Linked DNA regions of Elephas maximus indicus. The protein of the gene in region 1 interacts with the protein of each later gene in a biochemical or structural test. Links are inferred from orthologs where the notes say so. Each region holds a gene or a part of one and is shown in the gene's direction. Other genes may lie near its edges.

Region 1 (5,683 bases):
GTAGGGCTATCAACTACTAAATTAAATTTCATGACAACATGAAAAAATAAAGTTCAGAGGTAGTCCTTAAAGGCAATGTTTTGTTCTGTTTTCTGAGCCCTGGATAAGTCAAACTACCAACTCAATATATTCACTTGAATATCAAAGAGCTTCTCAAATTTCAATCGGAAGCTCCTCCAATGCCCCAAACCATACCTCCTCCCAGGAGTCCATCCTTATTTCGAACATTGCTATCTACCCAGTTGCTCAAGCCAAAAAGTTAGGAGTTTCACTCATAACCAAATCCTGTCAGCAGATTATTGATCCAACTTCCAAAATATAATCTAAATCCCACCATTTCTCACAGTCTCCACTGCTATCACCATACTCCAGTTGGGTATCTCTAACCAAACCCAGGGGAGTCTCAGAATTTAGCATGCATCAGAATCAACTCCCAGGGCTTGTTAGATTGCTGGGGACTAGGAATTATCGTTTCTAATAAATTCCCAGGTAATGCTGATTCTGCTGGTCTGTCAGGTGCCTGCGAGTGGATAGCGACCCCATGTGACAAAGTGTAACTGCCCCTTAAGGTTTCCTAAGCTGTAACCTTTGCAGGAGCAGACCACCAGGTCTTTCTCCTGTGGAGCAGCTGGGTAGGTTTGAACCACCAACCCTTTGGTTAGCAGCCAAACACTTAACTACTGCTCCACCAGCACTCCTTCCTGTTGGTCTGGAGGCCAGATTTTAAGAACCACATCCAGCTCACAATGCTGCAACAGCCTCTTAATTTGATGCCTTCTATTGTCGGAGCCATTGTCGGAGCCCTGGTAGCGCAGTGATTAAGAGCTCGGTTGCTAACTTAAAGGTTAGCAGTTCAAATCCACTAGCCCGTCTTGGAAACCCTGAGGCAGTTCTATTCTCTTATAGGGTCATATGAGCCTGACTCCACAGCAGTGGGTTTACTGTTGCACTGGTGGGACAGTGGTTAAGAGCTGCTAGCCAAAAGGTCTGCAGTCGGCACCCACCAGCCAGTCCACCAGCCAGTCCGTGGAAACTGTATGGGGCAGTTCTACTCTGTTCTATAGAGTCATTATGAGTCAGAATCGACTCAACAACAACACATTTGGTTTTTGGTTTTGGTTTTCTGCTGTTGTCAGCCTAGGAACCATGATCCCCAAAGCAATCAGAGTAACCTTTTTAAAGGTTTAAAGGTTTAATGAGCTCATATTATCCAACCCTACCTGAAAATAGTCCAATGGGTTCCCAATACACTGGAAATAAATTCTAAAACCAATCACATTCCGCTTGCGCTACACCATATTTTCACTTTTTTTGCATTCCAAACTCCAGCTTCGGAAATTATACATATTTTGTTCCTATTATACGGGACTGTCTTCTGTATCTCGACATGGTTGTTACAAAGGGATAAACTCCGTTGATAATTCTTGGGAGTAAAACATTATCACTGCATGATTAAATTAGGTTCGGCTTCACGCTATTTGATGTAAGAAGCGGCAGAGAGAAGACACCAGCACTTAATTCCCAAATTTAAAAATCAAGATTCCATCTCCCTTACTGGGGAATCTTTACTTGAACACCTAAGTCAGGTGCTTTGAAGAACTAAGGACACAAACTCCAGAAATTAGTCAGCAGCATATATGAAGGAAACTAAATTATCCTTTTTCAGTGCACAGCACAGGAGCACGTAATGGAACAAATCTAAGTACTCCCAGTAACCTTACCACTTGGGAATAACCGAATCGTATTTCTTTGCTCTTACAGGTAACTTATCCTGCTTAACGTTTATCAAGGTTAATACAGCACAAACCCGTGTTTCACTAGAAAACAACTACCAGAGCACTTGAACCTTCACGTGTGATTCAGGTACCCAACGTCAATTTTAATAGCAATTGAACGAAGGACGAATCCCACCTACTCCCCCAAAGTTTTTCCCCCACCCTCCACGGCCATAAACTCTTTTCCCATTTGAGACAGAAACGAGCTAGATACCTGTGTTTAAACAAGGTTTAAGTTTTCTTAGACTAGACTTGAAGACAGTATCAAGATACAGCGGGGACACATTAAACCCATAGGGCCAGTGACAGCTTCTTTCGTTGACACAATGGGCGCCTCTGAAAAGAGCCTTTGGAACAAAGAAGCCGGAGACTGTGCGAAGGCTGCATCCCATCAGGTGACTCACTTGGAGCTGGTGTACTTGGTGACGGCCTTGGTGCCCTCGGACACGGCGTGCTTAGCCAGCTCGCCGGGCAGCAGCAGGCGCACGGCCGTCTGGATCTCCCGGGACGTGATGGTCGAGCGTTTGTTGTAATGCGCCAGGCGGGACGCTTCCCCGGCGATGCGCTCGAAGATGTCGTTGACGAAAGAATTCACGATGCCCATGGCCTTGGACGAAATGCCTGTGTCGGGGTGGACCTGCTTCAACACTTTGTACACGTAGATGGAGTAACTCTCCTTGCGGCTGCGCTTGCGCTTCTTGCCATCTTTTTTCTGGGCCTTGGTAACAGCTTTCTTAGAGCCCTTCTTAGGAGCAGGAGCGGATTTGGCCGGCTCAGGCATAATAAGAACTACCGAACTGCAAAAAAAAACAAAAACAAAAACAAAAAACCCGTCCCAAAACCACTAACAAAACAATCGAGCCGAGCCTGCTGGCAACAGCTCGGTACTTATAGAGGCGGTACGCAAATGACGGTTCTGACTACGCTGCTCTGTGATTCGCGGGTTTCCAGTGGCGCCGGTGCGAGGCGGGCCAGATTATGTAAACGAATGGATTCTAACCGAGCTATGCTATTGGTTTTCAGGACAAAGATGCGCTGTAGCCAATCAAAACGGTCCGCAGACAATCGCCGTTCTGCCTATAAAAGGGTGAAGCCGGGCAGTTGGTGGCGACTTTGGCGGTTGTTTAGGTAGAGTTGTGTCCGTGTGTTCTCGGTGTAATGTCTGGGCGTGGTAAGCAAGGAGGCAAGGCTCGTGCCAAAGCCAAGTCTCGTTCGTCCCGCGCAGGCCTGCAGTTCCCGGTGGGCCGAGTTCACCGTCTGCTCCGTAAAGGCAACTATGCCGAGCGGGTGGGGGCCGGTGCGCCCGTCTACATGGCGGCGGTGCTCGAGTACCTGACAGCGGAGATCCTAGAGCTGGCGGGCAACGCGGCCCGGGACAACAAGAAGACGCGCATCATTCCTCGTCACCTCCAGCTGGCCATCCGCAACGACGAAGAGCTGAACAAGTTGCTGGGCAAGGTCACCATCGCCCAGGGTGGCGTTTTGCCCAACATCCAGGCCGTGTTGCTCCCGAAGAAGACGGAAAGCCATCATAAAGCAAAAGGAAAGTGAGGTTGATGGCTGGAAACTGCCCGCCCAGCCCCCGTCCTCCGTGGTCATCCGTATAAGCCAAAGGCTCTTTTCAGAGCCACCCACTCTTATCAAATGAAAAGAGTTGTTGCAATATCCAGTCTCAGTTCTACTTTCTTGATAGTGATAGCGGAGTTTTCCGTAGCCGCCATATAGGAGGTGGGTGGGAAGTGGAATACCATTTGTTAGCTTTTCTCCCAAGCTTTTGAGTTCCGAGCGTTTTTCGTTTATTTCATGGAGTGAGTTGCGCATACTAGAACTAAACCCAAGTGGAGGCACCAAATACCTTGGGCTCCACCCACGGTCTTTTAACCCACAAGAAGATACTGGGCAGCACCAACCCGTTAGCTCGCTTGGCGCCGAGTGCGCCACTATCAGTTCCCGAAGCTTTGCCCACCACCTGACCCGACCCTAGTTTGAGGGATACGTTATCACCCCCTTCTACAGGGGAGCAGTTTCCGAGAGTGCAGCGGACCCGAGTCTCAGCTTAGCCTAGCCCAGCGTCTTGGGGAATAAAAAAAAACGTTTGTGCGGCGGAGATACCGATCCACACTAGGCTTTCGCAGGCCAACTCTTAACCCTTGGGAGCGGACAGCTTTCCAAGCGGAAAAGCACCGACCAGGAGGAAACGATTAACCAGAGCGAACGGGGCGGCCGGGGGAGGGTGGGTTGCTCTGTGAAAAGGTTACAAGATTTGGGGGGGAAGGGATAAATGTTTCATTCCGGAGCTACAAACACAGCGCAGAAAGGCGGGGCACGGGTAGCGTGTCCTAAAGGAATGATAGGCGGAGGAGAAACGGTCTCACGAGGTTGCAATCAAAAACGCCTCTCCGAGGAAAGAATCGGGAAAAACGGAGAAAAACTGTTGGCAAACTGGAGAGTAGGAAAGGGGGCGGGCTGGCGGGGGAGGTCGGAGGAGGGTTCTGTCCAAGCCTATCGGTGACGCCAGGGCGGATGACGTCACAGCCAATGGACAGTCAGCGCGGGACTTTCAATTATCCTCCCGCCCAATCCGGGAGAGACTGCGCCGATAAAGACTGCTGCTGCTGGAGGGCTCGCATTCCTGTCCCTGTCGCTGCGCCGGTTAGCTCGTGTCTTGACCCGTTATGGCCCGTACTAAGCAGACTGCCCGCAAGTCGACCGGGGGCAAGGCCCCGCGGAAGCAGCTGGCCACCAAGGCCGCCCGCAAGAGCGCGCCGGCCACGGGCGGCGTGAAGAAGCCGCACCGCTACCGGCCGGGCACCGTGGCCCTGCGGGAGATCCGGCGCTACCAGAAGTCCACCGAGCTGCTGATCCGCAAGCTGCCGTTCCAGCGGCTGGTGCGCGAGATCGCGCAGGACTTCAAGACGGACCTGCGCTTCCAGAGCTCGGCCGTGATGGCGCTGCAGGAGGCGAGCGAGGCCTACCTGGTGGGGCTGTTTGAAGACACGAACCTGTGCGCCATCCACGCCAAGCGCGTGACCATCATGCCCAAGGACATCCAGCTGGCCCGCCGCATCCGCGGGGAGCGGGCTTAAGTTACACTGCACTCGGCTCGGGGTTCCATCTCATCCAAAGGCTCTTTTCAGAGCCACCCACAACAGCATTCGAAAGCGGCTGTGTCACTTAGTCTGGGCCGTCACCGGGTGGACGCTCCCAAAGTCGGGGAGAGGTTTAGGGGGGTGAAGCCCTAGGTTCCCGGGGGTGGGTTGCGTAAAAGATAGGACGGGTTGATAGGTTTGCTTAACCTGCTTATAGACCGCTTAACTGGTGGCTTGGAGCTTTACAGGCTTAACTGGGTTCGTAAGGTCACTGGCGCTTGCCCGTTTTGCGTCTCTGAGTTGGCCACCCACTGTCCCGCACTGAAGTTTTCCGCCATTTGGGGGCCTAAGCTCTTGTGCTTTTTTTGTACACGGCGACCCAGCATGCGAATTCGAGTAGGTAGGGAGTGGAGAACGAACTGACAGCGGAAGGAGTTCCTGCGGACGGGAGCGCGCCTGGGTCGCCCTGTGCGGGAACGAAGAGCTGCCCGCTGCCAGGTATGCGCTCATCCTTTCCCCCTCGCCCCGCCCCTGCCGGAAACGGCCTCACCCGGCGCGGCCTAGTACTGGGGAGGGAAACCGCCGCCTCTGTCTAGCTCAGATCCTTCGGTTCCTGTGCTTTGGCTGCTCTTTAGGTATTGGTGAGGCCCGTGCTCCCCTCCGCAGCAGGACGTTATCGGTTTGTGCCACTGCCCTCACCTCCACTCTACCGCCTATTTGTCAAAGCTCCCAAAGCTCCCTCAGTAATTGTTTCTGTTAGGTGCCATAGAGGTGGTTCTGACTTAAGGCGACCGTATAAACAGAAGAGCGAAACTGCCC
Region 2 (8,269 bases), on another chromosome or scaffold:
ATGGTTAGCAGCCATAGCTCTTAACCACTACACTGCCAGGGTTTCCATCACATACATAATATATGGTATAAATTACTGAAAAAAACCTATACAAAGCAATATGAATTTCTAAAGGTAAAAATATACTATGGACTAACAATGAACTAACTCCGCCCTGAAGGAACAATTACTTTCAAGTGATTGGAATTCTTTTAAAAATATTTTTTTCCTATAGAAAAATAAAGGACCAAAAATAATAACCTGTGAATGTAACCTTTTTTTTTTTAGTGCAATTGTAATAGTAAACATTGAACACAAAAATTCTAAGACTTAGAATTTTTCTATGGTTTCTCCACAACTGGGAAAGTTTGGTTCCTAAAAATTCCTGAGGAATTTAAGACTTTATGGGAAAACAGAAAGAGAGGGACAATGTTGAGTATTGAAACTATGGAAAAGTCATACAGATATCTTTACATTCACTAAAATGAAGCAATAAGGACATATCAATGACGTTTCATAGGCATTCAGTTAGTAAGAGTGGGTATTATAGTATGTATTTTTAATCGCTGTCACTTGTTTGCTAGACTCTCCCTTGCTTAGTTTCCTTGCTGCAGATAATAGCTGTATGATCTGTCTGTCTGCACAGCACAGGCAGACAGACTGTGCCTCAAACTTCCAGGCAACCATAAGACTGGTAGGAATGAGACATATACACCTACTGGCATCAGGCATTCCATGAGTGCTACATGAGACACTTAGTGTTGGTAAAGTGAAAGCCATTATTATTATTTAAAGAAAGCAAATGGTAAACAATAACAACAGATTCAGAGAAGGGTAAATGCTTACGCTTCCTCAAATTATCCACGTCCGTTCTTATGTCGCTGGGCAGGCACGCCGTGGTTCACGTCAGATACCAGATGCCCTATTCATGTCGCCACTGCCTCTGGCTACCAACATGATGCTTGGGTGCCCTGCACGGCTCCCAAGTCTTCTGGTCTCTTCTGGTCCTCACTGGCCTCTGCCACCAGCTCCTGCCAAGCTACCTGGTCCTGCAGGGCTGTGTTGTGCCACATTACTCAGGCCCCACCGTCCAGGGAGGGAGGCATGCAACCCCTACACTGGGCACGGTCAGGCCTCCGCCCTGAAGGAACAAGCATTACAGCTTTTTTAATTCCGCTGGTGAGTCTCCTCCCTGAAGGTGCTCAGCTCTCGCTCGGTGGGTCGGCAAGCCCACTGTCGCTGTCTATTGCTATCTTGCGCTTGTATTCAGTGTTCACTTCTTCTACCGGGTCTAGGAGGTTCTCATTCCTTGGTCCAAAGGACAATCTCTGCTCCAGACTCTTCTTTTTGATGCCCCTCTGTGGGCTTGGCCTTAATACTCAATTTCAAGGCATGGCCCTCCCACCAGGACCACGAACTGACCAATCCCCTTGGTGAACTGTAAGTTACTCAGTTTGCATAGTAACCTGACCAATCCCTTAGAAGATTGTGGCCCATCGAATATTTTTGTGGGAGTCACAAGACCATGTCTAGAAAGGCCATATAAAAGCGATTCATTGTACTGCAACAACCTTCCATCCTAACCTTCTGACATTTTAAATATTTTAATACATATGTTTTCTGATTATAAGAGTGCTACACCAACTCCGAAAGGTCCAAGTATTTTAAAAAACATAATATAGGAACTCCCTTGTAATCTGACCCTTTAGCCAGTTAATCACTACTAACAGTTTGTTACCTGTGTACCATATTTTTTTTAAAAAAATGCGTATTTAACATGTGTACTTATTAGAAAGTAAACATTTTAATTTTTTTGGTGTTTGGTCCTCCTGCCAGATGCTTAATGCCCTTCTGACTTTTATAATTTAGAGGAACCTCAGCCACCTGCCTCCTGGGCTTTTGCCAGTGTGGTCTCAGAGCAGTGCAATTTGGATGACTGAGTTGGAAAAACCTTTGGGAAACCTTTATTTATGTACTCCTTAAACCCTTCCTCAGATCCTGGGTTGTATTTTCTTTGCTCTGCTCATGATAACTTCATGCCAAAGAGCCTGCTATCAGTCCTTTTAAAACAGATCCCAACTCCCCTTCTGCTTACTGTAGCCAAAGAAATGCAGCCAAATAAAAAGGCCAGGTTTACTCACCTTTCAACATGTTTTATCTTTCCAGAAGCGTCACAGCAAAAATCTTTATTTCTGTCCTGCCGTTTACTCTACCCACTTGTTCTCTTCTCAGTCCCTTCTTGTTTTCTTTTAAAAGTTGTCTCCAGTAGGATTGACTTGCAACTATGTGTATCCCACACTTACATTCTCCTAAGTGCTAAAGAAGTACACTGAATTACCCTGATGTACAATTTGGTGAAACTCACAGAATATGAGACTTGAAGTTGGAAATGGCTGTTGTAATTTTCAATATTGGACACAGAAAAATATATGGATCAACAGTCCACTTTTTGAATGTGTATTTTCTTTAAAGGGCAATGCGCAGAAAAAATGAAAAAGAAAGGGTGAATTTTAATGTTTGTACTTAATAAATTTTAAATATATCACTTCATAAATTTATTATTAGTCATTCACGTATATGTTGTCTATGTATAATACACAGGTGTTTTTAATTTATAGTTTGCATTCACCAAGCCAGCTTCTCCCAAAACTCAAACAGCCCTTGGTTGTAAAATTCAGAAAACTTAAAGAAGCCGATAGGGATTAAACTCTGAAAACTTCAAATGGCTGTCTTAAAATATTCCTCATTTCAGCCATTTTAAAGCTATGCTTTTAGCCATAATAGACTTTGGAAATCAAAGTGTGTGTATTTTGTCCAAATCGAAAGCCACATTCAATATGTATCCTGCCTATTGGGATTATGGGAAGGCAAAAGACATCCCTAGAAAAATCAGGATATTATTTTTACCTCATACTAAAACTGTGTTGTTCTGAAGACTGAAACGAATCATGATCAGAAAGCGTCTAGCAGTGCCAGGCCCAGAGTAGATGCTAATTAAATGATTCTTTACAACAATCCTTTCTCAAGTGGTTCAGAGGTCTGAATATTTTCCCTAGTTCAAATCTACAATTTTTTCACTGCCACGTATTAATCAATAGTGGATGGAAAGGAAAGCACAGAATAAAACATTGTCCAAGTGTTACCTCTGGATTAAATACAGAAACACGTAACTGTTATACCTTAGAAAATGTACATTTCACTTTCTAATTCTAGTCCCATTTTTTAAACCATTTTTAGGTAGCGTAGAAATGCTTCGATTTTTGTGTCTTCATCACAAATCACCGAAGGTTAAAATCAAGTTGTTGGATGTTTATCGGTTTATTCCAACTTTAAACATTTTATTCCTCGAGATAACATTGTTTTGTCTGCCTTGCGGCTTTATAAGCCCTTTCTGGATTAAAAAAATGACTTTATAATACGAAACTATAACTGGAATTAGATAGTGAAGTTGTGCTCCATTTCTTTTTCTCCACAGACGGGCATTAAAACGAAAAAAAAAAATGATGTATATGAAGGCGGTAACGTCGCCTATGTCATCTCTACACTCATTGTGTATGTCGGGTAGATAGAAAAGGGGAAGAAACGCAGTGAGTGTCTGTGTGCGGGAGGCAGAGAGCGCTGCCATCGCGTCAGGGTTTTTCTATATGACTGTGTATTTTGGAGCGTTTACAAAGCTCTCCTTTCTCTCTCCGGTATTTTCTGGATCCAGATCCCGGAGATTCGCATCCGCAACTTGGCTCTCTCCCGAGCCGGAGCCGGGGCCGGAGCCGGGGCCGGAGCCGGAGCCCGAGCCGGAGCCCGAACCGGAGCCCCAGCCCGAGCCCCAGCCCGAGCCCCAGCCCGAGCCCGAGCGCCGGCTGTGGCCTCGGCTGCCGCGTCAGAGGAGGGAGGGAGACCTGGGGGACGGGGGAGGGGGCGGGGGAGGGGGTGGGGAAGCCGGGAGGGGGGAGGGGAGGCGGGGGAGGGGCGGTGAGGTCACGGCGCGGCGGCGCGTCCGCGGGGGACAGGAGCGCGCAGGCGCGGAGCGAGCTCTGTGAGTGGCCGCGGCGGCGCGCGGGGGGGCGAGGGGGGAGGCCCCGGAAGGGGGTGGGAGCGGGGACGTCGAGGCAGGGCTGTGTGGGCGAGACGGCGGCGAGTTTGAGAGGTCCGTGGTGCGTGTCGCGCGGGGGAGAGACCGCAGCGCAGCCCCGGCGTACGCCACGGTGGTGCGCGTGTGTGGTACACGCGAGCAACACAACTTCCTTCTGCCCTCTCCTGGGGGCGAGCGAGCGTGTGAGGGAGCGAGTGTGTGAGAAAGAGCGAGTGCGAGCCAGCGTGTGAGAGCGGCGTGTGTGTGTGAGCGAGTGTGTGCTGTGAGCGTGAGTGTGAGAGCGCGAGGCTGCGAGAGCGAGGCGCCCGCCCTGAGGGAGAAAGCCCGGAGCCCACAACAACTGGAGCAGCTGTCAAAACTTCGCCGCCTCGCGCCGCCGCCGCCCCCCGGGGCCCACGGCGGGGAGGGGCGGCGGCGGGAGGGGCAGGCCGGGTGGCAGCGCCCCCGCTCCCCGCCCCCGCTCCCCGCCCGGGCCCCCGCTCCCCGCCCGCCCGCCCGCGCTCCCCGCCTCGGCCCCCGCCGCCTCCCTGCCGCGGGCGGCGCCTGGGGGAGGGCGGCGGGCGGAGCCCCGGGGTCGAGCCGGCGCCCGCCCCCCCGCCCCCGCCCCCGCCCGGCTCCCCCGCCCCCGCCCGGCTCCCCCGCCCCCGGCCCCGGCCCCGCCCGCCCGCGCGCGCCCGCCCGCCCGCCCGCCCGCCCGCAGCCCCCTCCCTGGCGGCCCCTCCCCGCGCGCCCGCCCCCCGCCCCGCCCGCCCGCCCGCCCGCCCGCGGCCCGCGGCCCCTCGCCCGGCCCCCGCCGGCCCCTGCGCGCCGAGTGCGCGCGCCCGCGTGTGGATGTGTGTGAGTGCGCGTCCTGCTCGCTCCATGTTGCCTCCTCGCCCGGTACCTGCGGCTGCTCCCCGGGCTGCGGGAGATGCGAGAGGCTGAGCCGGGGAGGAGGAACCAGAGCAGCAGCGGCGGCGGCGGCGGCGGCGGCGGCGGCGGCGGCGGGAGGAGCCCCCGGGAGGAGGGCCGGGATCCATGTGTCTTTCCTGGTGACTAGGATGTCGTCGGAGGAGGACCGGAGCGCGGAGCAGCCGCAGCCGCCGCCACCACCCCCCGAGGAGCCCGGAGCCCCGGCCCCGAGCCCCGCAGCCGCAGACAAAAGACCTCGGGGCCGGCCTCGCAAAGATGGCGCTTCCCCTTTCCAGAGAGCCAGAAAGAAGTAAGTTGAGTGCGAGGGAGCGCGGCCGGGAGCCAGCCCCGGCGCCGCGGCGGAGCTGTCACCGCACCCGGCCGCCGCCGCCCGCCCGCGCCCCCGCCGCCGCCGCGCCCCCCGCCCGCCGCCGCCGCCCGCCGCCGCCGGGGTGGGGGCGGGGAGCGGCCGGGCGCTGTCGGCACCCTGGCGCTGCCGCGGGGCCCCCACGCCTCGCCCGCCGCCCACCGCGCTGCGCCCCTCGCCGCCCGGCCCGGGAGCGGCCGCAGCTCGCCCTGCCAAATAAGGCTCCGCTCGGGCGCTGGGCGCCGCGACACTTTACTTTTTACTTTGGCCTCGTCGGTGTGTGTGCTCCGTGCGGCTTTTAGGGGAAATTTCTCGTCGGTTTGGCTTGGCCTAAGTGGATCGTCCAGGAAAACAGACGCAGCGCCGAGGCGTCCCCGGGTGGTGCCCTCGGCGGGTCGGTCCCCAACTACGGAGCCGCCGGCTCTCGGGAAACTCGTAGCTGTCAAACGCCTGGGCCAGGTGGGCTTGGGCCCCGGTGGGTGGGCGAGAAGAAGGCGGAGGGCTGGCGCTGGTTTTCTTTGTCAGCCGGGCGTTCCTTCAACTTTTCCGGATCGCAAACCTGTATTTTCACCCTTTAATGTGAATTTAGGAAGACAGTTGACGTCTCCGTCCCCCCTCCCCGCACACACCCGGGTCCGCGCTGCTCGGCAGCCAAAGCCCAGCGCGGTGTGACCACACGGCTGAAGGTGAAGCAGTGCCTGAAGTTTTGGAAGCGTCGCCAGCCTTCCCACACCAGGCAGGATATCGGGAGCACATTGATTCGGATAGAATACAGATGGAAGTGGTGCCCAACTTACCCTGAAGTAGTAACTCCTGACGATTTCTGGGTTAGGAGCAGGTTTTGTTTCTGAACGTAGGTTAGGAATGTATGCCTCCTTTTTTTAGATCACCAGAAATTAGAAATGTCTTTTTAAAAATGGTTACACGGCCACTTTGTCTGTAAAGGAGGAAGCCCGTTTTAGTGCCAGCTTTTTAGTGCTCAGCTATTGTGGCTTTCTGGTGCGCTCTGGGAGATCTGTGAATGCCCCACAAAGTTGTGGAATGGCGTGTACAGGATCGTCATTTCATTCTGTGAGGTTCTCACTGAACTGTTGTAGTGGAAGGGGCGCTGGGAAGTGGAGGAAAGCAGTTTCTTCGGTTTGGGTGCGTTCATTTAGTAATAGTATGGTTATATTTCGTGATAACTAGTAAAAACAGAATTTACTGAGGCGTAACAAGGCCCGGTTGTGGGAATCCCTTGCAGCCCTTGACCGTATGTGCTTTTTTATCCTTTCATTGTGAAAATGATTCAGGGCCTTGAGCTTGCCTCCATATTTTACTGCCAGCTCTTACCTAGCTATGACAAACCGTGAGGGAAACAAGAAGTACAGGATGCATGCATTATTATATTAGCTTCTTTGTGATACAAAGTTAGGGTTTATTTATTACGCCACTCCTGCTGTAATATAATGTCTGGCATAAAACGTTATTGTTGTTATTACTGTATTAACTGAAATTTGGAGAAGGAAGGTAGAGTTTTAAGTAACTTTAAAACTTTGCCACTTTTTTGTATCCTTCAAAGCAACACCAGTCAAGCCATAGTAGGGTTTTTAATTGATTGCTTTCCATTTTCACTGTTTGAAAACCATCTCTCGGTGTCTTTTTGAACATTAATTTGGGATTATTGTATGTTTTAGATCTGCATTTAAATTCTTACTCTTTTTTACAGTGGACCTATCCATGTTGTCTTGCCCCTCACCCCATAGGCACGCTTACATGTGCACACGCACACATACTTACCCTGCTGTTGGAATGAGCTCATTTGTGTTAGCACAGCTTCAGGATGCAGTGGAGAAAAGGTTCATTTAGGGTATTACCATTTTATAAAAGCGTGAATTTTTTTCTCTCATATTATGAATGAAGAAAAAGGTGGCCCTTTGAGAATTTAAAAAATTTCCACAGAATGACACAAACCCAACACTGTAAAAACATCAAAACTTTGTGAAATGTTTAGAAAAATTCTAAATCTTAAGTTTTTTTCTTTAGCTTTGGAAAGTAGTATGGCGTTCCTTATAAGAAAGCAAAGTCTAGCAGTAACTCTGATGGTTCTAAACTTTTTAGTGAATTCTTTGAAATTAGATTTGTCTTTTGAAGGGAATGGAATCTCCAATTGCTTTAGAAACATGTAAATGGAAACTAATATGTGAAATGGAAACCCAAGGGAAGGTTTTTCAATTGTGTGTCTCTACACGGTGTTGGGATTCATGCAGTAAAGACCCTGTAGTTAGCTGGACCCGGAAAGTGAAACTGATACGTAACGTGATTTCTTATAAGGAATGAGAAATGTAAATTAGGTTTTTAATGGCCGAAATTATGTGAAATGAGAAATAATTCACCAAAGAAATGAAAATTAATATTCTTTTTGAAATGTAAGGAAAATAATTTAAAATTGTCAGTGATATTTAGGTGATCGCTAATTTAGTGGGTTGTGTTAAGCCAGCGAAGAAGATGCCTCATGACACTGTTATTTTTTAAAGAGGTCTTTGTGTATTTGTTTTTGGTTTAAAAAAAAAAAAAAAAAGTAGCTGTTCACTGTTAGCTATCCTTTTCTTCAGTTTGAATGTTTAATAATTAGGTAAATAAATTGGGCATTGTTTTATTGTATTAGATATTTTTAATGTTTTGTTCCATTTTAAAAGTGTAGGTTGTATAGTTATTGGTTTTATATAAACGGTGATTACTTTAAAATTATGTGTACTGCCTAAAATCAAGAATTTTGAACTGATGCTATTAATCTTAATGGCAGAGTTTGAAAAGTAGGTATATGGAGGGATTTCCTGTTGTTCAAACATCAAGTGAAACAGTAAAATTTACATTCGTCTGAAAGCTCTCCCAACAGTTAAGACTAATTATTTGGCTATTTGCAGTACTCATAACCTTTACTAGAGGCACAGATCTTAAAC
Region 3 (7,816 bases), on another chromosome or scaffold:
CCTTGTAAGCAAGGATGTCGAGACTTCATTTCACGTACCTTCGGCATGTTATCAGGAGGGACAAGCCCTGGAGAAGAACATCATTCTTAGTAAGGTAGAGGGTCACAGAAAACGAGGAAGACCCTCGATGAGATGGATTGACACAGTGGCTGCAACAGTGGGTTCAAACATAGCAATAATTGTGAGGGCGGGGCAGGACCGGGCAGAACTGCCCTATAGCACATAGGGTTATCCAAGGAGCGCTCGGTGGATTCCTACAGCCGACCTCTGCGGTTAGCAGCCATAGCACCTAACCACTGCGCACCAGGGTTTCCAGCCTCTAGCTAGCAACTATTGATCTGCTTTCTTGTCTCTATGGGTTTGCCTATTCTGGATACCAGAACCAAAACCAAACGAGTCGTTGTCGACTTCTAGAGACCCTGTGAAACAGGTTTGGTGGATTCGAACTGGAGGTATTTTGGTTACCAGCCAAGGTCTTTACCACCAGGGTTTCCAACGAAGCGTAGTCGGCAGGATTCGAACCTGCGCGGGGAGACCCCAATGGATTTCTAGTCCATCGCCTTAACCACTCGGCCACGACTACACGGGCTGTTGTAAATATTTCATATAAATGGAATCATGCAATACGTGTCGTTTTGTGGCTGCTTTTTTTCATTTAATGTTTTCAAGGTTCATCCATGTTGTAGCATGTATCAGAACTTCATTCCTTTTATGGCTGAATAATATTTCATTGTATAGTTATGACACATTTTGTTTATACATTCATCTGTTGATGGACATTTAAGTTTTTTCCACTTTTCGGCTATTGTGAATAGTGTTTCTGTGAACATTCGTGTACAAGTTTTTGTTTGAGCACCTGTTTTCAGTTCTTTGGAATATGTAACTATGAGTGGAATTGCTCGTCATACAGTAATCCTATATTAAATTTATTAGAAACTACCAAACTGTTTTCCACAGCATATGTTCCGTTTTATATCCCCACCAGCAATGCACAAGGGTTTCAATTTCTCCACACTCTCGCCAACACTGGTGATTTTCCTTTTTTTTTTTTTTTTTTAATTATTATGGCCACCGTAGTGGGCATGAAGTGTATCTCATTGTGGTTTTGATTTGCATTTCTCCAATTATCAGCGAGGAAACTTTGGTGGCATAATGGCTAAGTGCTACAGCTGCTTAACCAAAGGGTGGGCAGTTTAAGTCCACCAGAAGCTCCTTGGAAACTCTGTGGGGTAGTTCTACCCTGTCCTATAGGGTTGTTATGAGTTGGAATCTGCTGAAAGGCAATGTGTTTTTGTTTTCTTTTTAGTAATCAGTGATATTGACCATGTTTTCGTGTGCTTATTGGCCATTTGCATATTTTCTTTGGAGAAATGTCTATTCAGATCCATTGCCTTTTTTCTTAATTATTGTACTTTAAATGAAAATTTACAGTTCAAGTCAGTTTCTCATACAAAAATTTATACAAACATTATTATGTGACCCTAGTTGCTCTATGACAGCACACTCCTCCCTTCCACCCTGTGTTTCTCCTGTCCGTTCAAACAGCTCCTGTCCCTCTCTGCCTTCTCATCTCGCCTCTGAACAGGAGCTGCCCATTTATTTTCATAATATCTACTTGAGCTAAGAAGCACACTCTTCACAAGTATCATTTTATGTCTTATAGTCCAGTCTAATCTTTGTCTGAAGAGGTGGCTTCGGGAATGGTTTTAGTTTGGGGCTAATAAAGAGTCTGGGGGCCATGTCTTCTGGGGTCCCTCCGGGCTCAGTCAGACCATTAAGTCTGGTCTTTTTACTAGAATTTGAGTTCTGCACCCTGCTTTTCTTCTGCTCTGTCAGGGACTGTCTGTTGTGCTCCCTGTCAGGGCAGTCGTTGGTGGTAGCCGGCCATCATCTAGTTCTTCTGGTCTCAGTCCATTGCCCATTTTTTAATTGGATTATTTGTCCTTTTGTTGTTGAGTTGTAAGAGTTCTTTATATATTCTGGATATAAATTCTTTATGAGATATATGATTTGCAAATATTTTTTTCATTTTGTGGGAAGTCTTTTCACTATCTTGATAGTATCCTTTGATACACAAAAGCTTTTAATTTTATCTTTTTTTTCTTTCATTGCTTGTGCTTTTGGTGTCTGACAAACCATTGCCAAATCAAAGATTATAAAGATTTACTCCTGTTTTTTTTTTTTTCTTCTAAGGTGTATTTTTAGCTCTTACTTTTAGATTCTTGATTCATTCTGAGTTAATTTCTGAATATAGTGTGAGGTAAGAGTTCAATCATTCTTTTACACGTGGAAATTTATTTAGTCGTACCAGCATCATTTGTTAAAGAGGCTATTCTTTCTCCGTTTAATGGTCTTGGCGCACTTGTCAAAATCAACTGACCATGACAGAAACTGGAAGAATCCCTGAAACTATGGCCCCCAGATGCACTGTTAAGCCAGAACTGAACCATTCCCAAAGCCCGCTCTTCAGACAAAGATTAGAAAGGACTATAAAACAAAAAAATAATACACGTGAGGAATGTACTTCTTAGTTCAATCAGATACATGAGACCAAATAGGTAGCTCCTATCCAAAAGCAGGATGAGAAGGCAGGAGGGGACAGGAACTGGTTGAATGGATACAGGGAACCCTGAGGTGGAAAGGAGGAGTCACATAGATTGCAACTAGTGTCACAAAACAATATGTGTACAAATTTTTGAACAAGAAATTAACCTGAGCTGTGAACTTTCACCTAAAGCAGAATTAAAAAAAAAAAATCAATTGACCATAAATATATAGGCTTATTTCTAGACTCTTAATTCTATTTCATTGATCTATATTTCTATCCTTATGCCAGTAGCATTCTGGCTGTACCTCCTCCAAGATCTATCTGTATGGGATCAAATTGACAACAGCAACTTGAAAGATTAGATAGGAACCTTAGGGGGCAGTGAGTTTATGTTAATGGGGGAGGAACAACTCAGAAAAGGAGGGTGAGAATGGCTGCACAACTGGAAGAATGGAATCGATGTCACTGAATTGTACATGTAAAAACTGTTGAATTGGTGTACGTTTTGCTGTGTATATTCTTAACAACAAAATAAATTATTTTTAAAAATGAATGAGTTATGTCTGACTGTGTTGATGTGGGAAAATGTCCAAGGAAAACTGAAAGATTTAAAGAGGTAAATCGGAGAGCAATGGGTGTGATGATTCCATCTGTGCCATTTTTTCAAGGACAGACATATACATGCACAGAAAAGATCTAGAAGGGTATATCAAACTAATACGTGATAGAAAAGATCTAGAAGGGCATATCAAACTAATACGTGATAGAAAAGATCTAGAAGGGTATATCAAACTAATACGTGCATAGAAAAGATCTAGAAGGGCATATCAAACTAATACGTGATAGAAAAGATCTAGAAGGGTATATCAAACTAATACGTGCATAGAAAAGATCTAGAAGGGTATATCAAACTAATACGTGCATAGAAAAGATCTAGAAGGGTATATCAAAATACATTAGTAGAATTTACCTCTGGGGAGTGTGGCTGGGACCGGGGCTTTCAAGTTCCTCTTCACAATCACACTGTAATTTTTTCATTTTTCTACTGGTAGGATGAATCATTTTGACAACAAAATGCTGGCACACAGAAGAGCCGGATGACAATGGTTGCCTCTGGGGATAGGAGTAGAGGACTAGGCAATTGGGGTGGTAGAGAGTCTTACTTTTAACCGAACTGTTTAAATTTTATCGTGTTCATGTATATTTAAAAACCAGTAGTACATCGACAATATGGATGAATCTCACAAATAGTATTGAACAAGAGAAGTCAGGCACAGAAGAATACATGTTGTATGGGTCTGTTTATGCAAAGTTCAAAACAGGCAAAACCAGTATGTGGGGTTACTTCTGCGTCGGAAGGAGCAGAAAAGAGGCGAACGTTGCAGCAAGGCGGCGGAGCAGGTTCAAACAACATGGCAACCGCAGGAGAACTTGCAGAGAAACGTCCATATACTTCCTCCTAGGGACGTTTTAGTGGATGCAGGACTTTTAAGAACAAAATAGTAATGACCCAAGGACAGACACACACGCAAACGAACAAATAAGGTGACAGAACAGGGGGCCCAGAAACAGACCCAAAACCGGAACTTCATATATTAAGGGTGGCATTTAAATCACGTTGGGAATGTGGCAGTTTTAACAAATAGTCTTGGCATAACTGACTACCCATCTGTTACATCTTAACTCATACACACACGGATTAATTCCAGAGATATTAAAGATTTAAATTAAAAAAAACAAAAAAAAAAACAAACTTGAGAACATCTGATTCGGGGAAAGAAAACCTCTCCATACCGGAATGCGAGAGTGCGGAAATGCGCCTTCCGCCGTTTCCATTGGGCTCCCACGGCCTAAGTCAGGGAACATCCAACCAATAAGAATTGGGCATGGGCGGTGCGCTCAGCCAATGGGGTCAGGGCGGGAGATTTGAAAGCGCCTCGGCTGGGGCGCGTCGGGGCAGATTCAGTCGTTTGCGGGAGGCAGGGAGAGCAGCTGTCCTGCCGGCTCCAGGTGAGCTAGCCCCCTTCCGCGGGCCTTGCGCCGGGAGAAGACAGGTGATCAGGCAGGTCGGGGTCCGTTGGGCGGGCCCGCGCGCATTCCGCTGGGCTGCTGGGCGTATAAAAGTGGAGAGAGGGTCCTGGAGGGGAGTGGGGCCAGTAGCTGGGAGGGACGAAATGGCAAGCGCCGGGATCCCGACTACTCTGGCCAGCGTGCTGATCCGCTCCTTTCCACCAGCCCCAGGCAGGCGCTTCCGGCTAGAAAGGTCAGACCCCTCCCTCGTGCGCTCATTCTATGTTCTTCTCACGGCTCTGTTTCCCTCCTCCGGCTCAGCTCCCCGCCCCCTTTCCCTCTAAGGATGGCCCAGAAGGAGAACGCCTACCCCTGGCCCTACGGCCGGCAGACGGTAAGGCCCTTTCCTCTCCCTCCTCCCCCTATCCCTATGGCGAGATACTGCTTGGAGATTGTCTAAGGCGCCCAATGCCAGCTTTGGGGTCCTGCAGAGGCCGATCCTCTTAGCACTTTCTTCGCTAGTATGCTCCACTGTATGGGCTCCAAGAGTTTGCTAGAAGAATCCGGTCTGGTCTTTCGCAGCCACGTCCTAAAGGCTTCTCAAGTGCTGTGAACTTGAATCTGACCAACCACTGGCCCCTCTGCTGGGCTGACTGAGCCTACTTGTCACATTCAAGTGATAGCTGGGACTGAGCGTCTGGCCAGAGTCAGGGTCTGGCCTTTGAGCCACGATTCCCTACCCTTGTCCTGAAAAAAATAAGATAGACCGGAAATAGAAATAAGATGTTTAAAAGGTCAAGGACAAGTCTAAATTAATAATTTGGAGTTTATTTTAATAACTAGAGTGCAGAAGGATCTAAATAGAGTATTTTCTAGATGGTTAGCCAGTTGTCCCAACACCTTTCACTGAAGAGTTCACTCTCTGATTTGAAATGCCACCTGTATTATACGTTTTAAATTCCCAAATATATGTGGGTCTATTTTGGGGCTTGTTTATTTGTTGCTGTCTTGGGACAGGTTTCTAAGGGCACTAGGGTTTCTTCCTCTCTGGGCTGAAGAAACACTGCACTGGCTTAGCTCCCTTGTTGGTGTGGCTTAGGCATCCTGGAGGGTCCATCTATCCCTTGTCCAACAGTTCCCTCCCTCCAGGAGCACTTAGTGAGGTTGTTAAGAGTGGAGGCTGAATGAGAAACCACTGTCACCTCTACATTGGTCACTCCCAAAAGAAAGTTGCGTATATTAACCTGAGAGGTTGAAAATTAGAAGTGGTCCCAGGCCACCAAAGTAGTCCTCAGTGTCCAGAAAAGCCTGTTGGTGCAAAGGGCTAATTACTGGTGTTTGCTGCAACGTCCAAGGCTTCAAGGACCTCACCTGAGCCTTAAAGACTGGGCTTTTAGGGGACTGAGAATACCTCTGTGCTAAAACTCCTCGGATTGTGGGTGTTCATTGACCCAGTCCACTACTGCTCCCTAGGGTGGGGGGCCTGGGTGACTGAATGTGATGTTATGGACAGGACTATAGAGGCTGGAGAGCTTTGTACCTGAGAATGTGGTGTGGGCCAGGGCCAAAAAGGTGAAACGTGAGGCGCTGGGATGAGTCTTTTGATCCTTATATAAGTCTAACTTAGGCTGATAACTAATAACACATTGTAATATTGTGCTCTGAGCAGAGTCTTAGGGCTGGGTGGCAGAATTCTATCAGTGTTCCTCTTTGAGCTGGGGGTGAGTGAGTCGTGGCTCCATAGCAAGTAGCTAAATTGCTACACGTAGCACATTCCAGCCCAGTCACTGGGACAAAAGCGCCTCAGAGCTACCCCTTGCTCCTTCTCAGGCTCAATCTGGCCTAAACACCCTGCCCCAAAGAGTATTCCGGAAAGACCTTGCCACCCCATCTGCACTTGTCCTCATGAGCCGCTCCAATGCCCAGCCCACAGGTAACTCAGACGAGGGAGAGGATTGACCTGAAGGGACTGGAGCCTATGGGGAGGGCACAGGGATGAGAAGGTCAAATGAGGGCCTCAACTTACCTGTTCTCTCTTAGCTGCCCCTGGTGAGAAGAAGATGACAGAGAACAGCAGTGGGACACCCAGCTTCTTAATGTAAGTACCCCAAGCCTCGGGGTGGGAGAGAAGAGGTGGGATAGGAAACGAGGGAGGTAAACCCCAGGGGCAGGTGGAGTAGGGATGGGGCAGGAAAGTCTGGTCCATTCTCAGCTCCCTTCCAAGAGAAAGAGGGTTGAGAGCAGGATGGGCTGAGGAGTAGGGAGAAGACAAACAATTTAAATGACCAACAAACCCATGCCACCTCCTGGCACTGAGCGGCCTTCCCCTCACTTTCCGATCAGGCGGCCCTTCACAATTGACGACTTTGAGATTGGGCGTCCTCTGGGTAAAGGCAAGTTTGGAAATGTGTACTTGGCTCGGGAGAAGAAAAGCCATTTCATCGTGGCACTCAAGGTCCTCTTCAAGTCTCAGATAGAGAAGGAGGGTGTGGAGCACCAACTGCGCAGAGAGATCGAAATCCAGGCCCATCTGCAGTAGGTCAACACCCTCCAAGCAAAGCCCCTCTGCCCCTCACCCCCAGCCCCAAGCTTCTCTTTCCATTCCACCACCTCCAGCCTGCTTTCCAGGCAGCTGTGTCTGCTTAGCTCTCAACTGGGCCAGAGCCATGAATCCAGAGAGCTGTCCCCATCCTCACCTGTGTTCCCCTTCACCACTCCCAGCCCTGGCGTCCCCAGCCCGGTCCTGTTTGCCCCATATGGACCTGTCATTTTCCCTGGCTCCTAGCCAGGATGCAGACTGAGGCTCCTCTGTGCTTCCCCAGGCATCCCAACATTCTGCGTCTCTACAACTATTTCTATGATCGCCGGAGGGTCTACTTGATTCTGGAGTATGCCCCGCGGGGGGAGCTCTACAAGGAGCTGCAGAAGAGCCGCACTTTTGATGAGCAGCGAACAGCCACGGTCTGGGCGGGTGGGCACCCAGGGCGCCAGCAGGGGCTCGAGACTCGGGGTGCACTGCTCGCAGCTGGAAGGTCCCTCCTCGTCTGACTGTCTGCCCTTGGCCCTTCCAGATCATGGAGGAGCTGGCAGATGCTTTGATGTACTGCCACGGGAAGAAGGTGATCCACAGAGACATAAAGCCAGAGAATCTGCTTTTGGGGCTCCGGGGAGAGCTCAAGATTGCTGACTTCGGCTGGTCTGTCCACGCCCCCTCCCTGAGGTATGGTGGTGGGCAGGGAGGACAGTGCTGATGTGAGG
Region 4 (8,223 bases), about 9.4 Mb from region 1:
CTGCTCCTTCACCTACGAATAACAATTGTGTAGGATTTTAGAAAATTAATAGATACTCAGGTTTGTCATACATAAACTCATTTAATTTATTGCAAGGTAGTCATGGCAAGGCTTGCATGTAAGACCTTACAACATTCATTCAGAACCAGTGAATCAGAATTAACAATTACAATGTTAGCTCAGTAGTTAGAATCCAAATCTTTATAGACTTCAGGCTTTTACCTCTAACAAAAGGTCTTGGGAGAAAGGCTTGACCATGGCTCTAACTTGGTGGTGGTCCCTCGTAGCTAAGGCCCGACGGCAGCAGCAGCGGGCAGAGTCTCAGCACGTTCTCAGTCTTCAGAGAGAGTAAGAGACTAGAGAAAGATTTCTTTGCTAATACCTTCTCTCAGTAAGCAGGAATTCAGAGTTTATATGTGAAATCCTCACCTTGGGCTCATACGATGGGGACCAGTGTGACGTCGGAGACTAGTATGTTATGTCCTTCCTCCAGGGTTAGAGATTACTCAAATGTCACTTTTTTTTAAGTTTAGAGATTAAGGAGCTTGTTTAGATTTTTTTCTCAAGGATAGTTTACAAAGATTAACTACGCTATGTCCTCTTTTATCACAGCATGAGGTCAAAGTCAACTTAACTTAAAGATTGTTTGCCATATTCCTCACACACTTCACATGATTCTGTGTCAAAGTTCAGAAGTTTTATAAATAACTATCTATGACTTATAGGTTTCTAATTATTTATATTTAATGTTAAACAGCCTCACAAAGGTAGATGCATTTCTATTTCTAAATTCATGTTTTAAGTGATTAAAAAAGAAAAAAAATATACATATGTATTTTGAAAATATTATAATGCCTTATACCCTATGGGATTTGAGACCATTATAGAAACATACAGAACAATTTAATTGTTCCTCTGTCGTGGATTGAATTATATCCCCCCAAAATATCTGTCAACCTGGCTAGGTCATGATTCCCTTGTATGATTGACTTCTACCATTTTATCTTCTAATTTCCCTGTGTGTTGTAAATCCTATCACTATGATGTAATAAAATGGATTAGTGGTAATTATACTAATGAGGTCTACAAGATTAGATACTGTTTTAAGCAAATCTCTTTTGAGATACAGGAGAGAGAAGTGAGCAGAGAGACATGGGGACCTCATATGACCAAGCAAGCAGTGCCGGGAGCAGCGTGCGTCCTCTGGACCTGAGGTTCCTGTGCTGAGATGCTCCCAGACCAAGGGAAGACTGATGACAAGGACCTTCCTCCAGAGCCGACAGAGAAAAAAGCATTCCCCTGGAGCTGGTGCCCTGAGTTTGGACTTCTGGCCTCATGGACTGTGAGAGAATAAACTTCTTTTTGTTAAAGCCATCCACTTGTGGTATTTCTATTGTAGAAGCACTAGATGACTAAGACAGTATCCAAGCATTCATTCATTCAAGACCAGGTGTATTTACTGAGTGCTGTCTATGAGCCAGGAATTATTCTAGTGCTGGGGACCACAATGTTGGGGAAACAAAAGTCCAAGTCTTCTGAAGTTTACCTTTTACAGAAACCAAGTAAACAAATAAAGTACATATAAATATTAATAAATGCCATGAAGGAAATAAACAGTGTCCTGGGATGGAAAGTATTATTTAAGGTGGCTGGGAATGCCTTGGGGCAGGTGACAATCAAGGTGAGACCTGAAGGATGAGAAAGAGCCATTCAAGTCAAATGTTAGGAAAAAACAATTTGCCAGGCCCTACAAGAGGTAAGGAAACCCTGGTGGTGTAGTGGTTAAGAGCTATGGCTGCTAACCAAAAGTTGGCAGTTCAGATCCACCAGGCGTTCCTTGGAAACCCTGTGGGGCAGTTCTACTCTGTCCTGTAGAGTTGCTATGAGTCGGAACTGACTTGATGGCAACAAATTTTTTTTAGAAGAAGCAAATGAAGACCTGAGACAGGAAAGTGTTATACTCTTAGAAAGCCTATATATTTTGAGCCCAGTAAAAATTGGGGAAGAATAGTGTGAGATGCAATCGGAAAAGTAGACTGGGGACAATGGGAAACTTCAGGATTGAAGCAGAATGCTATGGTCCAATATGGGTTTTTAAGAGCTCATTCTTGCAGCTACGTGGAGAATGGATTAAAAAGGATGTGGTTAAAAGCTGGAAGATCCATGAGTAGACTGATTTCCAGGCAAGCAAAGATGGAGGATTAGACCAGGGTTTTGGCAGTGGAGATGGAGGAAAGTAGATGGGTACAAGATATATTGTGGAGCTGACCCAAAAAAAACTTATATTTAGAATTTTCTTAAAAGAGATCACAAGGATATGAATTAAAAATTGAGAAATTAATGCATTTAAAAAGAGAAGGTGACATTTTGAGAAAGGAAAGAATGGGAGAAGTATACAGTAAATAGGGCAAAAACAGTTAACGTACTCAGCTGCAAATCGAAAGGTTAGAGGTTCAAGTTCACACAGAGGCACCTCAGAAGAAAAGCCTGGCAATCTACTTCAGAAAAATCAGTCACTGAAAACCTATGGAGTACAGTTCTACTTTAACACACATGGAATCACCATGAGTCAGAAGTGACTACAGAACAATTGGTTTAAAGTGGTCACATTTACAACTCTAATTCCATGTCTGGGGTTCTATTTTCTTAAAACAAGGTATTAAACCAAGAGGAGGGGAGTGGAGGAAGAACTGCTAGAAGGAATTTTAGCTATAACTGGTTGTGGTTGAGCCCGAGCCCACGTCCCCCAAAAGCTGACAATTTACCCAATGAAAAATAATGAAGCAAAATTTAACAGATAATTTTAATAAGAAACAGTGGTTCTCACTCTGGCTGCACATTAAAATCCCCTGGGGAGTTTTTTAAAAACTAGATGCCCAGGCTCCACTGGAGGTTCTGATTTGATTGGTCTGAGGTGGGACCCAGGCATAAAAACCTACTGCTGTCAAGTTGATTCACTCATAGCAGTCCTACAGGACAGGGTAGAACTGCCCCACTGAGTTTCCAAGGAGCAGCTGGTGGGTTAGAACTGCTGACTAACAGCCTGAGCCCCTAATCACTGTGCCACTAGGGCTCTGGGACCCAGGCACAGGTATTTTTTTAAAGTTCCTCAGAGGATTCTAATGAGCAGCCAGGATTGAGAGCCCTGAGTAAGAAGTAGAGCTGAGGATGCCAGATCAATAAACGCATTCCACTAATGAAGGATTAATAGAATAAGGTGAAGGAAATTTTCCCCCAGATAAGCAATACAGACCTAATACTTAAACGTAGTTCAAAAAATGCAGTACGGAATTTCCAATTCTCATGGAACCCAGGCTTTCTGGAGCCACTGAGGCTGGATGAACCTCCAAATTATTGCCCTAAAATAATCTTTAAACGTTAAACCAAAAATATCCCCTAAAGTCTTCTTTAAACCAAACAATGGTTTAGTAAAGAGAGTCTGCCTTGAGTACTATGCTCTTTTTAAGAACTATCCGTACGGGATCAAACTGACAGCAGCAGCTGGTAAGGTTAGCTAGGAAGCTTACGGGGTAGTGAGTTTACATTTAATGCAGGAGGACTAATTCGGAAAAGGAAGGTGATAATGGTTGCATAACTTGAAGAAAGTAATCAATGTCACTGAATTGCACATGTAGGAACTGTTGAATTGGTGTATGTTCTGCTGTGCACGCTTTCAACAACAAAAATAAATAAAGTGTATATATATAGAGAGAGAGAGAGAGAGGAAACCCTGGTGGCATAGTGGTTAAGTGCTACGGCTGCTAACCAAGAGGTCGGCAGTTCGAATCTGCCAGACGCTCCTTGGAAACTCTATGGGGCAGTTCTACTCTCCTACAGGGTGGCTATGAGTTGGAATCGACTGGACGGCAGCGGGTTTGGGTTTTATATATACATATACACACACACACAAAGTTCAAGATCACAAAGAAAGGACAGCCAATTTTGTTGGCTTTTTTTTTTTAATGTTAGGGAAAAATGTTCTTACCTGACTTGTGAAGAACATAGACATTCCTAGACATCACACATACTTAAAAATATGTATTTTTTCCCCATTATGGTCAGCAAAGAAGAGAGAGGTTAATAGGCGATGGATGAATTAAAGAAAAATAGAATGGCAAGAGGAGACTACTATTTTGCCCAGACAAGGCAAGGAGACACACATAGGACAATTAAGGCGTTGCAGTAGAAAACTGACAGAAAGAATGAAGGATACAGATATTGGGAAGGGAGGGGTATTATAATTGGTTACTAGCATACATTTGACAGTGGGTTGGATTGTACTGCATCTTGCTTTTCAACCTGTCTTCACTCTGTACCCGTCCAGGATTTAACTCTTGTATGAAGCGCAGAGTAGCAGAGAAGATACGAGACAGCCAAGTAACTACAGTATCCTCCTGAAATGAAAATCAGAAACGTAATTCTCCTTCCACTGCAATCAAGATCCCTTATTGCTTGTCGGTGAATAGGAAATTGACAGGCCAGAGAAGTTATTTACCCTAAATCATTCAACTAGCAGTCAGATTAAATCAGAACCAAGGTTTTTCATTATTAGGTTTTTACTTTGCTTCATTTACATTTTCTTGCACCTACCTCCTCTGAAAATAGAAGAGATTGTTGTCGCAATTTTCCAGATAAGGGGTGCGACCCTTTTAATTCGGTGGAATAAAACGACTGAGTTGAGCAGAGAAGGCAAAAGTTGTAATTTTAGTTTAAGCGGGTGTGTCCACCTCAGGGAGAGAAAGCAAAAAAGGAACTGAGAAGCTAAGGTAAGGAGGGGCCTGGTAAGGTAAGAAGGGTAATAAGGTAAGGAGGGGCCCTGGTGGCGCAGTGGTTAAGAGCTCAGGCTGCTAACCAAAAAGTCGATAGTTCAAATCCAGCCGCTGCCTGGAAACCCTACGGGGCAGTTCTACTCTGTCCTATAGGGTTGCTTTGAACGGCAATGGGTTTGTTTTTCGTTTGTCTGTGTTTTGGTTTAAGGCAAGGAGGGGAAACTGACAGAATTACAGAATGTGGGTGTTGTCAGGCGGAAAACGTATGTCGGGACTTCGAAGGCAGCGCGTTGCGGCCCTGCGGGCTACCCAACAGGAAGTGAGAAGCTCGGGTGGGCACTACATGTCCCAGAAGCCCATGCTTCCTGGGACCGCGCGACGCCGCGCAACGCCCGCCGGGAGCCGACCGGAGCTGCCAAGATGTCGCTGCTCAAGAAAAGAAAGCTTGAGTCGGGGGGCGGCGGCGAAGGAGGGGAGGGAACTGAAGAGGAAGATGGCGGAGAGCGGGAGGCAGCCCCGCAGCGACCCCGGAGAACTAAGCGGGAGCGGGACCAGCTGTACTACGAGTGCTACTCGGACGTTTCCGTGCACGAGGAGATGATCGCTGACCGTGTCCGCACCGATGCCTATCGCCTGGGCATCCTGAGAAACTGGTCAGCGCTGCGAGGCAAGACGGTACTGGACGTGGGTGCGGGCACCGGCATCCTGAGCATCTTTTGTGCCCAGGCCGGAGCCCGACGCGTGTACGCAGTGGAGGCCAGCGCCATCTGGCAACAGGCCCGGGAGGTGGTGCGGCTCAACGGGCTGGAGGACCGGGTGCACGTCCTGCCGGGGCCGGTGGAGACAGTGGAGTTACCGGAGCAGGTGGATGCCATCGTCAGCGAGTGGATGGGCTACGGGCTCCTGCACGAGTCGATGCTGAGTTCCGTGCTCCATGCGCGGACCAAGTGGCTGAAGGAGGGCGGCCTTCTCCTGCCGGCTTCCGCTGAGCTCTTCGTGGCGCCCATCAGCGACCAGATGCTGGAGTGGCGCCTGGGCTTCTGGAGCCAGGTGAAGCAGCACTACGGCGTGGACATGAGCTGCCTGGAGAGCTTCGCCACGCGCTGCCTCATGGGCCACTCGGAGATCGTGGTGCAAGGCCTGTCCGGAGAGGACGTGCTGGCGCGGCCGCAGCGCTTTGCTCAGCTGGAACTGGCCCGGGCCGGCTTGGAGCAGGAGCTGGAGGCTGGGGTGGGTGGGCGCTTCCGCTGCAGCTGCTACGGCTCAGCGCCAATGCACGGCTTCGCCATCTGGTTCCAGGTGACCTTCCCCGGAGGGGATTCGGAGAAACCCCTGGTGTTGTCCACTTCACCTTTTCACCCGGCCACGCACTGGAAGCAGGCGCTCCTCTACCTGAACGAGCCGGTGCAAGTGGAGCAAGACACGGACATTTCCGGAGAGATCACCCTGCTGCCCGCCCGGGACAACCCCCGCCGCCTGCGTGTGCTGCTGCGCTACAAAGTGGGGGACCAGGAGGAAAAGACCAAAGACTTTGCCATGGAGGACTGAGTCCTGCCTTTTCTCCCAGTTACCTCCCAAGGCGGCCTGACTTGTGTGGGAGAGGCGTAGGGGGGTCGGAGGAGAAGGGAAGATCCCACGTGCAAGTAGGGGCGATATCTGTCTGCCTTTTTTCTTGTCTCCTGGGGAGGGAGAGTGACTTCAGTCTCTTTTTGAGGAGATCCTGCTGGCAATTTTTATTTAAAGAGTGATGATTCCCCACAGCAACCGCTACAGCGTAGTTATTAATGTGTGTTTAAGCCTCAAAAGCCTGTGGTACCAAGCACTTTTTTTCTATTTCTTTATTTTCATGGGGCGAAGGGGGGACCCACAGAAGAATGTTGATTTGTGAAGAGTCCGTTTATTCAAGTCTCTTACACCTCTCACACCATATGTACATCTGAAGCCAGGGAGAAGGGTAGAAGGGGTATTTTCTCAACCTGTGAACTGTCTCCCACCCCAAACCAAACCCGTTGCCATCCAGTCGATTCCAGCTAAGGCTATATATGGTACTTCTGCCTACATTGCTTTTTTAAATAAACTTTTAAGACTGGGAACGAGGAGGGGGAGAATGAGCACTTTAAATAGCCGTGTCCTTATTACTCTTACTACTTCTATAGGGTGCTGAAGTTGATAATTAATCCATTAAGTAAAATGGATTACCTAAAACATTTAGAAGGATTTTAGGAGAAAAAGACCTGAAAGGAGTGAAGTAGTATGGATTTTTTTATTCTTAACTATTAAGACTTAACCAGAAAATGTCCTATATATATTCCATAATATATTTTTGCCCAATTCTTACAAAACAGGCTGATGGAGAATTCAGCCTCTGACCCAAGGGCTTATTCATTGCCTGAGTGAATTATTTAAACTCACTAAATTAAGGAAAATATTTTCATAACTAGAACAGTGCACTCATTCTCATTTGAACTCCCTCACATAGAAGGGATCCTGTGACTTGGCCTACTTACATCTAGTGAAATATAGTTAAAGTTCCCATTTTAGTTCCTTTTCTTTTTAGCTCAGCCAAATGTGAAAGTTGTGAATTTAGGAAAATCACTTGTAATGAAGTGTGAGTCATGTTATCAGATTTGTTTCACTGATGTTCCTCTCCTTACCCCCGTGGCAAATAAAACATTGGCATTCTCACTATTTTTCCAGCTGATGTAAGAAGTCTTGTGTACTGCCTGAGCTATGATGTTTTTGCCTTTTTAATATTGTCAGATCTGACGCAAAGTGTTACAACCCCTTCAGAATATAGCTGCAGGATAATTCAAACTATGCTTAATATATAGTTTTTATATGCCAACAGCTTTGTGTGCTAAGAGAAAATAGTTATGAAAAACTGGTCATCTTTGAAGTTATTTTAACTTTGCTTACTGTAACTGAGTTTTCTGTTCCTTTATTCATTGCATATTAAAGTATTTCTGTATTATTACTAAGTTGCTAAAATGTGGTGTCTAATGTATGAGACCTGCCATTATGAAGGGAACCATACATATATAAAAATCATTGACTTTACAAGATCATTGAATAGCAGTATGGTCTTAAGTATCACCATTTTGATGTCAAGGTAGTTAACGGCTTACATAAAATAGTATAAAAATAGAACACTAGGCTTGGTTTAAGCTAGTTTAAAAATAGCTATTTTAGGGTCAACTATCTTAAATTGAACATTTATCCAACATTTAAAGGTTTAATGTACAATTTTGAGTAGATTTCTGGAGTGGTTGTGTGTGTTCAACTTCCTATAACAATCCTTTTGCTGTATTTTTTTTATGAGCAAATGAAACCATTCTTCCAAATGTTATTCTTACCACCAGGATGAGCACACAAAGGAAACCCCAGTTAAAACTTTGGATAACTATAACTAGTTATAAAGGGTGTTTAATAACTAAGCAAAGTAAGCTTTAAAATC

Evidence for each region.
Region 2: the proteins of histone H3 (region 1) and KMT2C form a complex in vitro, tested with the Homo sapiens proteins (2 studies listed by BioGRID, with this or other methods). The link is inferred for Elephas maximus indicus from reciprocal best matches to the Homo sapiens genes H3C14 and KMT2C.
Region 3: the proteins of histone H3 (region 1) and AURKB form a complex in vitro, tested with the Homo sapiens proteins (2 studies listed by BioGRID, with this or other methods). The link is inferred for Elephas maximus indicus from reciprocal best matches to the Homo sapiens genes H3C14 and AURKB.
Region 4: of the proteins of histone H3 (region 1) and PRMT6, one has a biochemical effect on the other in vitro, tested with the Homo sapiens proteins (2 studies listed by BioGRID). The link is inferred for Elephas maximus indicus from reciprocal best matches to the Homo sapiens genes H3C14 and PRMT6.

What each region holds. Positions count from the first base shown.
Region 1 is NC_064821.1:184,006,357-184,012,039, forward strand, and holds histone H3, read left to right. Parts: upstream 1-4,398; 5' UTR 4,399-4,450; coding exon 4,451-4,861; 3' UTR 4,862-4,900; downstream 4,901-5,683. Other genes in the region: histone H2B type 2-E-like, read right to left, coding at 2,176-2,556; histone H2A type 2-A, read left to right, coding at 2,934-3,326. UniProt on the Homo sapiens protein: Core component of nucleosome. Nucleosomes wrap and compact DNA into chromatin, limiting DNA accessibility to the cellular machineries which require DNA as a template.
Region 2 is NC_064838.1:10,192,426-10,200,694, forward strand, and holds the start of KMT2C (histone-lysine N-methyltransferase 2C), read left to right. Parts: upstream 1-4,846; 5' UTR 4,847-5,109; coding exon 5,110-5,270; intron 5,271-5,479; exon of another isoform or gene 5,480-5,786; intron 5,787-8,269. UniProt on the Homo sapiens protein: Histone methyltransferase that catalyzes methyl group transfer from S-adenosyl-L-methionine to the epsilon-amino group of 'Lys-4' of histone H3 (H3K4).
Region 3 is NC_064837.1:12,566,193-12,574,008, forward strand, and holds the start of AURKB (aurora kinase B), read left to right. Parts: upstream 1-4,499; 5' UTR 4,500-4,558; intron 4,559-4,879; 5' UTR 4,880-4,904; coding exon 4,905-4,952; intron 4,953-6,388; coding exon 6,389-6,491; intron 6,492-6,598; coding exon 6,599-6,656; intron 6,657-6,901; coding exon 6,902-7,093; intron 7,094-7,380; coding exon 7,381-7,519; coding exon of another isoform or gene 7,520-7,529; intron 7,530-7,629; coding exon 7,630-7,778; intron 7,779-7,816. UniProt on the Homo sapiens protein: Serine/threonine-protein kinase component of the chromosomal passenger complex (CPC), a complex that acts as a key regulator of mitosis.
Region 4 is NC_064821.1:174,631,683-174,639,905, reverse strand, and holds the start of PRMT6 (protein arginine N-methyltransferase 6), read left to right. Parts: upstream 1-5,151; 5' UTR 5,152-5,189; coding exon 5,190-6,317; 3' UTR 6,318-6,412; exon of another isoform or gene 6,413-6,814; intron 6,815-8,223. UniProt on the Homo sapiens protein: Arginine methyltransferase that can catalyze the formation of both omega-N monomethylarginine (MMA) and asymmetrical dimethylarginine (aDMA), with a strong preference for the formation of aDMA.